2 linked regions of the Coturnix japonica genome follow. The protein of the gene in region 1 binds, or shares a complex with, the protein of each later gene. Links are inferred from orthologs where the notes say so. Each region holds a gene or a part of one and is shown in the gene's direction. Other genes may lie near its edges.

Region 1 (4,375 bases):
AGGCTAGTGTTACTGATCTGCTGAGGCTGAAACCTTCTGATTAAAAATAAAAAGGTATCACCAAGGTTAGTATACTGTTAAATAATTTTGGACAAGAGGTCTGTGCTGTCGGGGGAGAAAGTGAGAGGTTTTTCTCTTTCCTTATCGACCTTCTGGTTTGCAGCTAATCTGATTTAACTGGGCAGATGAGACCTGCTCCCTTTGGCTTCAACTTGATGCAGAAAAATAACTCTTCTAGTGCTACTGAGGTGCTTTACTCGAATACAACACTCAGACACAAATTTGGCTGGGAACCCAATGCACTGTGTACTTGTGTTTCAAACTAGTGTTTCTGCTCTCAATCAACAGGAAGAATGACTTCAGTGAGGATCATAATTGATGCACTTATCACCTTGGCAGTGGCACACTTACATATTAATAGGCTTAACATGAGTTTTCTGCTGCACACGTTATTAAATGTATGGTGGCATGGCACTCGTGTCTAAGTCTAAACTTTATTAATTCCTGCCACCTGTCAGTACAAAGTCTGCATTTTCTTGGTCTCTCCTAGCCTTGTCCTTCACATTTAAGTTTCTACAGAGGTTAGTATTCTCCTGGATGTTCTTCAATCACTCCATAAAGCAGCACATCTAATAAGTATATCAGTGTAAAGTGTGGCCTCAAACTCCTGTTTATACAGCACTGATTTATATTGTATTTTTGCAGTTAAAGCAGCCACTGATGAAAGTGAATTTTGTGGGTTGAACGCTGCAGTTCATCTATGTATTGAACTGATCATTGTGTGGAGCAGTTCTCTAAATATAAAGTAACTAATTTTTGGTGTCCGTAGAAATTTTTGGATTGTGTCAATGTTAAGCATGTTTTGATTTGTTCCAGTAGCCGGATCGAGCTGGGAGATGTGACACCCCACAACATTAAACAGCTGAAGAGGCTAAACCAAGTCATCTTTCCTGTCAGCTACAACGACAAGTTCTACAAGGACGTACTGGAGGTTGGCGAACTAGCCAAATTAGGTATCTATGTTCTTGCCAGCAATCATGGGCTGTGATGTGCCGTCCTTAATGCTTTTGAGTAGCAGATTCTTCTATTTTGTTGCTTAATGTAACAAAAAATAACAGCTGGAATCTTAAAAAGCTGCTGTCTTAACCTCAAAGGGTTTATGTTATAAATAGCTTCTATTTTACTATAGAGTGGTACGTTTTCTGTTACAGCAGAAAACTTCATAGATGTGTGCTACCAACTTACCTCCTGAAGTCATTTGCTTATTGCAGTTAAGAATAAGTAACACTGTTAGAGTACCCCTGGTAATTTGCCTTGGTGTTAGTCATAGTGTATGACTTTATCTGGGTCAGGGAATTAACAGCTGGGAAGGGATTTACAGCATTTAAACAAAGGAGTTGCATGTGTAGTTTGAGATGTATAACTGATAACGCTTTGCTTCACTCCCTGACAGCCTACTTCAATGATATCGCAGTGGGAGCAGTGTGCTGTAGGGTGGATCACTCCCAGAACCAAAAGAGGCTGTATATCATGACACTTGGATGCCTGGCACCCTACCGACGGCTAGGAATAGGTGAGGAGGTGGTTCTTTTGTGTCTTGAGTCATCAAACAAACAAGAATGTCTGGCCAGCCTTTTAAATTGCCTTGTAGAGTTTTTCTGCTACTTTAACCAAGATAGCTCAAGGTGTACTTTCAGAGCAGTAATTGCTTTGGGGAAAGAGTGACTTATAAAATGCTCCTGCTGTCCCGTCTTTCAGAATTTATTTATTTATTTTTAGGACTTTATTGTTCAGGATTTCAAATTCTTTTAGTCACATTGTTTTATTTCTGTGATGTAAACACTCACCTTCTGTAGATAGAAAATTGAAGCAGAAAGATATTCTAAAATAGTTAGTCTGAAGTATGGAACCTGCATGCAGTTCACGTGGGATAGTTCACTTGGATGAGAGCACCTGTGTGCTCTCTTCAAGGCTAACAAGCAGTTAAAGCATGTCGATGAGGGCATTGTCCAAATGTCTCTTAATGCTGACAGGCATGGCTGCCTCTCTAGGAAACCTGTTCCAATGTTTTAACACCCTCAAGGTAAAGAAATGTTTCCTAATATCCAGCCTGAACGCACCACCCCTACTACCCTGTGCAGTCTTGTGCCTATCTTGTCCTGCCATCAGTTCTCAGGAGCATAGATGGGCATCTTATTCTGTTTCACTACTTCAGGGAGCTGCAGAGAGGAGCGAGGTTGCCTCTCAGCCTCTTCTTTCTTCCAAGGTTTTACTTTCAAGGACTTAAATATCCTTTTTATATTGTGGAGCCCAGAAATGCATCTGTTCTTCATTGTGTTACTTCTTCATTCTTCTAAATTATATCTGTCTTTAATTTCTAATTATTGCTGCTCAGGGGTAGTAGTCCTTTACTATCCATACGACAATGAGTTATTCTCTCTGCTGCAGATCTGTGGGCCAAGTCAATGTCCTCAGCACATGGTCTGTCATTTTATCCTACTTTGGTTAACTGCTCAAGAAAGTGGTTGGCGAACTAAGTACAGAATTGATTGTGCGCTTCTGATTTTAAGTATTTCTTTAACTTTTGGCAGGAACTAAAATGCTGAATCATGTCTTAAACATCTGTGAGAAAGATGGCACTTTTGACAACATCTATCTGTAAGTAAGAGTTACACCCATACTATTATGGAGAATGAGAGATGTACATGGGATCAAACAGAGGGAAATCCAGAAGTGTTTTATAGTCTCTAAGTTGGATTATGAGACAACTTTCCTCATAAATATTTAGCAAAAAAGCATCAGAAGGAAGGTTGTGTTGTATTCTGGGTTTGTTGTGTGATACAGAGAAAACCAAAAGCTTGCTTGCTTAATCTTAAAATTGTTTTAAAGCTGTGATCTATAGCAGAATTGCATTGCATTCTTTGAAGAAAAAGGTGGAATTTATTTCTTTTTTTATACTCTCCAGCATTGTCCCATAATAGAAAACACTGCAAGCCCTGCATACAGTTTTAAGTTATTTGCTGTCTGTTGTCACTTACGACACTAATATGTATATTAGAACATCACTCCAGAGGTGCTTAACAGACTATCTGTATTTGCATTCAGTGGCAAGGCCTGGCTGCTTACTCCAGTTCTTGCAGTGTGCCAGGTCACCTGTTTGTGCAGCAGCACAGTAAACTAGGTCAGTTATCTGACACAGCTGGAGAAATCTTCTCTTAGTGTTTTGTTTCTGGGGTTGGTTGGTTTTATGTCTGTTTCCAAAATATCAGCTACATCTATGTAAGCATTTGGCATGATACTGACATGTGAACAAGCAGTGGGGTAGAGGACAGGGGTATTTGAAAGGGTTGTTTTAGTAGTTCCCTATAGAGCAGTTTTGGCCAAAATCACTTCAGAGCCAGCTCCCTCCTTGGCCACAACTTCCTGGTTATACTGGCACAATCACAGGGTGCTGTGAGGATAGTCCTGCAGCATCTGTGGGTTGGTTTCACTTAGGATGTGTTTCCACAGCAGCCTGAACTCTTGCCAGGACTTTTGGAGATGTGCAGTGAAGAGTGTTTTGGACACTGGTATTACTGACAAATGAATAACTCTCTGCTCAAGTTGAGACCTGCTCTGCCAAGGAAGTGTAAATTCCTCCAAATCCAATACTGTTGTATCTTTGTGCCTGCTCTGTAAGAGCAGCAGGTATTTTAAAGAGGAGTTGTAAGTCCGCAGGGCTGCTTTACGCTGCCTTAGCTTTCTGTGAGGAGAGGAGGATGGTAAGCAAGGAGTAAAGAGTTAAAATCCTATTCAGTGTCACATCAATGTCATCATCAGTTTTGTATTAGAGCTGTCTGAGTGATGAACCCTGCACATTGCTTTGGGTCATCTAAGAAGTGTTTCTGAAGGAAGTTTAAAAATAGTGAAAGTCTCACTTTAGAGCCTTTAATCATATATAACTTTGTTATATATTTCCCAAAAGATATCCATCACTTCCAAGTGAAGAAAAATTGAAATTACTGAGCTATCAATATTTAAGTCTTGGCTATTTGTATTCCTTAGAATAGTTTTCCTGAAGGGAAGTATTTGCCATTTCTCATATTTGTCACGGATTATTCAGGAGCTGTGTTATCTCAGGATAACCTGTGGGAAGGCCAGAACTGCAAGTCTTGGGACAACAGTCATTCCTCTCTGGATAGATAGTTCCTTTCCTTATCTTGCTTATGTTCTTTATCCTTTGTTCACAGCACAAATGCATAACTTCATACTGTGGAATGTTCTGAAACCCGTCTCTCTATCCTCGTTTCTGTCCTAGGCATGTCCAGATCAGCAATGAGTCAGCAATTGACTTCTACAGGAAGTTTGGCTTTGAGATCATTGAGACGAAGAAGAA
Region 2 (4,375 bases), on another chromosome or scaffold:
GTTCAAATCCCTATTGCCCTAATTTCACAAATGAATTGATAATGTAGACTAGTAAACAAACTTTTACAAATGTAATAGCAGTATTGCTAGTTAGTAGATGTGGTTTAAAAGTCGATGGTATCTGACAGTTGGCACGAGTTAATGTTTGGCATCAATGTTGTCTGTTCTTGCCTTGTGTGTATGTACAGCAAATATGTCTGATAAGGAGCTGAAGAAGCTACGAAATAAACAGAGAAGAGCACAGAAGAAAGCACAGCTGGAAGAGGAGAAGAAGAATGCCGAGAAAGAGAAGCAACAGAGGAATCAGAAAAAGAAGAAGGATGATGATGATGAAGAAATTGGAGGCCCAAAAGAAGAACTTATTCCTGAGAAATTGGCTAAGGTGCTTACTAATGTTTCGTTAAGCAGTCTAAATTGGTGGAAAAGTTGCTGTGAGCTTGCAGACAGTTTGAAAGTCTTTGTAATAACCTGGTGATTTTATACCTTCCTACTTTTCATGGGCAGCAGGTTTGATGGGAAAACTGTCAAAAAATTTTATTGAATTACTGCTTTTGTGCCAAGTTTTCAATGATAGCAGTTGAAGTTGCAGGCTCTTGTTTCAGGTGTAGTTGTCTTCATGTGTAGATTGCACCCTATCCCTGCTGACTGTGCCTTACTTATGAGCTGAACAGGTGGATGTCTGTATGTAACATGATTGCCTTTGGACTCCTTATGGCCTGTATTAATTTTTAATTTATTAAGCATTGCTGCTTTGTGGAAAAGGAGACATATAGAAACAGTGCTTTAATAGCATTTAATCACGTTTGTTTTGTATGTGGAAGGAAAGTTTAAAGAAGCAATTTAGAAACAACAGTCAACTGGAGCGATGTGGATTTTGAAATCTGAATTAAGACATACCACCCCCTGCTGGGGGGTATGAAGGGAAGGTGACCTGGAACATCGTGATGATGTACATGGAAGGAGTAGGAAAATAATTGGCGAAAAAAAGATGGGGGATCATACTGGGAAAACAGGTAGCAAAAATGCTCTGCTCACAGTAGGATAGCATCCGGGTATTGATGGATTCACTATCAGTATTTTCATATTGCATGTGTAATGAATATTATTGGCTTCTGCAGGGTATTCTGGAAAGCAAAGTGAACCTTATACCCAGGAAGCAAGTGACTTTAGAAACTTAACTCTTCACACTATATTCCCACTGTTGCAAGAATCCCAATGCTTGTTAAGATTGGGGTGGATTCAGTGGCTTGCTCTGGAGCAGAGGATGTTACGGGATATGTTGTGAAAATCTAGGCTGTCCTCAAGTTTATAGGGAATAGTTGCAGCTACATAATGCATTCCTTTCACAAATCTTCCCAAATTATATTCCATATTTAGTATCAGAATCATGATTTAGAGAGCTCCAAATACAGTTGGTTGTCAGGACTGAAATACCATTTATGACATAGCTGGTCACTTGCAAACAGGTTTTCTGAGACAGTTGAAACCAGATTTCCTTGGTGGGTGATACGCTGTTTTGGCATTAAGCACACAGAATATACAAGTCACATTCCAAAGCTAAACAGTTTTTAAGTGTAGAGCTGTGACTTGTTTACATGAGCTCCCAAAAGCAATTGTAAACCATTAAGTTTTTATAATGAGAACTGATAGTCTGAGATTAGCAGGAACCCTGTGAGGTGTCTGTTGTTGTTTTCAACATTTCCTTGTGCAGTTTAATGGAGCATATTGCTTCAACATTGTAAAAGCGTTACAAACAGACAACAACTGGTGTTTATTAGAATTTAAATACATAGGGCAACAGAATTTTCTTGTTCTAATTATCCTCAATTTTTTAATGCGAGAGGTCTGTTTGTAAAGAGTCCAGGTACTGAATTTGTTTGTGTTAAAGCCATCCATTTACTGGGCTCTGTACTTACATGGGGTAAAATAAGCAATAATTTAAACAGGTTCATAAGGCTCACATGCATTATGTTTTGAAGGTAACCCTTTGGTGCTACTTGAATTGCTGGAGAGTTAGTTGTTATCTTAACTATGTGTCCTTCCTGGAATCTGTAGGTTGAAGCACCTTTGGAAGAAGCCATTAAATTTTTAACCCCCCTGAAGAATTTAGTGAAGAACAAAATAGAAACACATCTCTTTGCCTTCGAGATTTATTTTCGAAAAGGTCAGTACTGGTGAAATAAAACTGTTTGTTTGTTCACATTCTAATGTATGACGTGAAGAACCACGTGTTGATCGATTGAGGAATCAGGCCCTGTAGAGACACAGCATTTCATTGTGCAGACAGCATAGCCATTAGCATTCTGTGAAGAATACAAAGTTGGAACGCTTGCTGATTATCTGGTTTCTTTACTGCTCGTGTAAACCACAAGGCTATGGAACTAATTCTCCCTTGTTTGCATCACAAGTGTGCAGAACTGCACACCATGTAGAATTGATGCACACTTGCTAATGAGTCTTTTGAAGTGCTCTGTTTTTAGTTCTGTCAGTATCAGTTAAATATTATGCTTTATGAACTACTTAACTTCGTATTTACTTTCTAGTACAAGTCTAATTCACTGGCTAAATAAATGTGTATTGGAAAAAAAAAAAAAAAAAATGGTTCTCCTAAAATGTTCACCTTCAATTTGTTCTGATCATTCTAATTCCAAATGTTAAGTTTTCCTGCAACAGAAGGTATTGTGTTTCAGCATCATTATTTTGACCAAAGAATTTGCCAATTCTTTTCTTTTCCAGAGAAGTTCCTTCTGATGCTTCAGTCTGTGAAGAGAGCTTTTGCTATAGATTCCAGTCATCCTTGGCTTCATGAGTGTATGATTCATCTCTTCAGCAGTGGTATGTATCTGTTGGGTATGACTTCATCTGTACGTGTTTCCAGATGATGCCTAACCTACATATGGTATTTGATTGTTTGTTTACAAACTGTTAGCATAATTAATTCAACATATTTAATAAAGTTAGGAAGCTTTTTAAGCAACTATGTGTTAAATGAGGTATGTTTATTGTAAGTGCAGCTGGATTTAGTTAGTCTTTGAGTTAGTCTTTGAACATAAGTGTCTTTACAGCTGTGAGCAATGTGGTGAGCCCATGGAAGAGTGAGAGAAGCAAATGGAAACTGCAGAATGAATAACATGACTTCTCTGCTTGCAGCCTGTGTCAGTGCGTAAGGTTTAGAATCACGTCAGTCTTAGAGCTTAATAGGCTTTAATCAGCAAGGCAGAGAATGGTATTGGAGTAAATGACTTTAGCTTTTTTTTTTGAGCATCGAAAAACCATTTAGTTGAGCTTTTTCCAAGCAGTTCTGGTTACTTACCTTATTTTATACATCTTCCTTTGAGATATGTCCTTTTCAATCATACTGATAATTTGAGCATGACAAAAATAAAAACATAAAGTAGATTTTATTGTGATTACCTTTGGTTAACATTTTTTTCCACTTCATTAGTATCTGAAAGTAAGGATCTGCCTGATGCAGTTAGAACAGTGTTAAACCAAGAAATGAATCGGCTTTTTGGAGCAACTAATCCAAAGAACTTCAATGAAGCTTTCCTTAAAAAGAACTATGACTCACTACCGCATAGGTTATCAGGTATTTTGCCTTCTTCCTTTTCCTGCCGGGTTTCTGTATTTTCTTCAATCTAGCAGTGGCCTTTCAGTATCTGCAGCAGCCAAGTAAAAATTGCTTTTTCCATGCACTGTTGGGAGAAGTGTTCTGAGTACCCACAATCAAGTATTATAGTGGGAAATATTGTAATGCATGGAAAGCAGGATGCAAGCCACTTAACGGGTCAGCATTACTGTCATGGCTCCATCAGTCTAGAGTTGGTCACAATGAACAGTGAATTCATTCTTTGTATCTTCTGTGGCATCCAGGTCCCAAACATACCTGTGCTGTGGGACTCAGAGCTTCTTTTTGGTTGTGTTCTGTCACTGTATTATAACAAGGTCTTAATGTGCTCTTCTCTCCTGTGCCCCAGTCTCCATGTGCAGGGAATAGGAATGCTTCTTCTAGAGGGAACTGGGGTCTGTGGCAGCAGATCTGATCTGTTATCCTTGTTGCCCATACAGTATGCTGCCAAAAGCTCCTATCCTGCAGGATAGAAGCGACCTAGTTGTTTCTGTACTTTGTCTAGCTCTTAATAACAGCTGTGCTCCTGTCTGCTCAGGTATCACACTGTAATGCTTCAAGTTGTTTTATTTTGAAGTGCTACTGTAGATGTATGGTAATACTGCCTATTAGTCACACTACCTCTATTTTATGTTCACTTACAATAAATGTTTGTCTTCCATTGAGTGATGAAGCTTGTGTTTCTTCTTGTAGCTGCCAAAATGATGTACTATTTAGATCCTTCCAGTCAGAAAAGAGCGGTGGAGC

The links.
Region 2: the proteins of NAA50 (region 1) and NAA15 are in contact, whole or in part, in a cryo-EM structure (PDB 6PPL), measured with the Homo sapiens proteins. The link is inferred for Coturnix japonica from reciprocal best matches to the Homo sapiens genes NAA50 and NAA15. Residues at the interface, in NP_079422.1 of Homo sapiens: Arg5, His14, Asn15, Lys17, Gln18, Arg21, Leu22, Val25, Phe51, Asn52, Ile54, Ala55, Leu80, Pro82, Tyr83, Leu86; in NP_476516.1 of Homo sapiens: Pro369, Pro370, Thr371, Leu374, Ser403, Thr404, Pro405, Thr406, Leu407, Ile408, Phe411, Glu433, Ala436, Leu437, Asp438, Thr439, Ala440.

The regions. Positions count from the first base shown.
Region 1 is NC_029516.1:71,046,773-71,051,147, forward strand, and holds part of NAA50 (N-alpha-acetyltransferase 50), read left to right. Parts: intron 1-876; coding exon 877-1,013; intron 1,014-1,453; coding exon 1,454-1,573; intron 1,574-2,591; coding exon 2,592-2,658; intron 2,659-4,297; coding exon 4,298-4,375. UniProt on the Homo sapiens protein: N-alpha-acetyltransferase that acetylates the N-terminus of proteins that retain their initiating methionine. Has a broad substrate specificity: able to acetylate the initiator methionine of most peptides, except for those with a proline in second position.
Region 2 is NC_029519.1:25,692,604-25,696,978, forward strand, and holds part of NAA15 (N-alpha-acetyltransferase 15, NatA auxiliary subunit), read left to right. Parts: intron 1-188; coding exon 189-382; intron 383-2,055; coding exon 2,056-2,164; intron 2,165-2,736; coding exon 2,737-2,835; intron 2,836-3,445; coding exon 3,446-3,589; intron 3,590-4,321; coding exon 4,322-4,375. UniProt on the Homo sapiens protein: Auxillary subunit of N-terminal acetyltransferase complexes which display alpha (N-terminal) acetyltransferase (NAT) activity. The NAT activity may be important for vascular, hematopoietic and neuronal growth and development.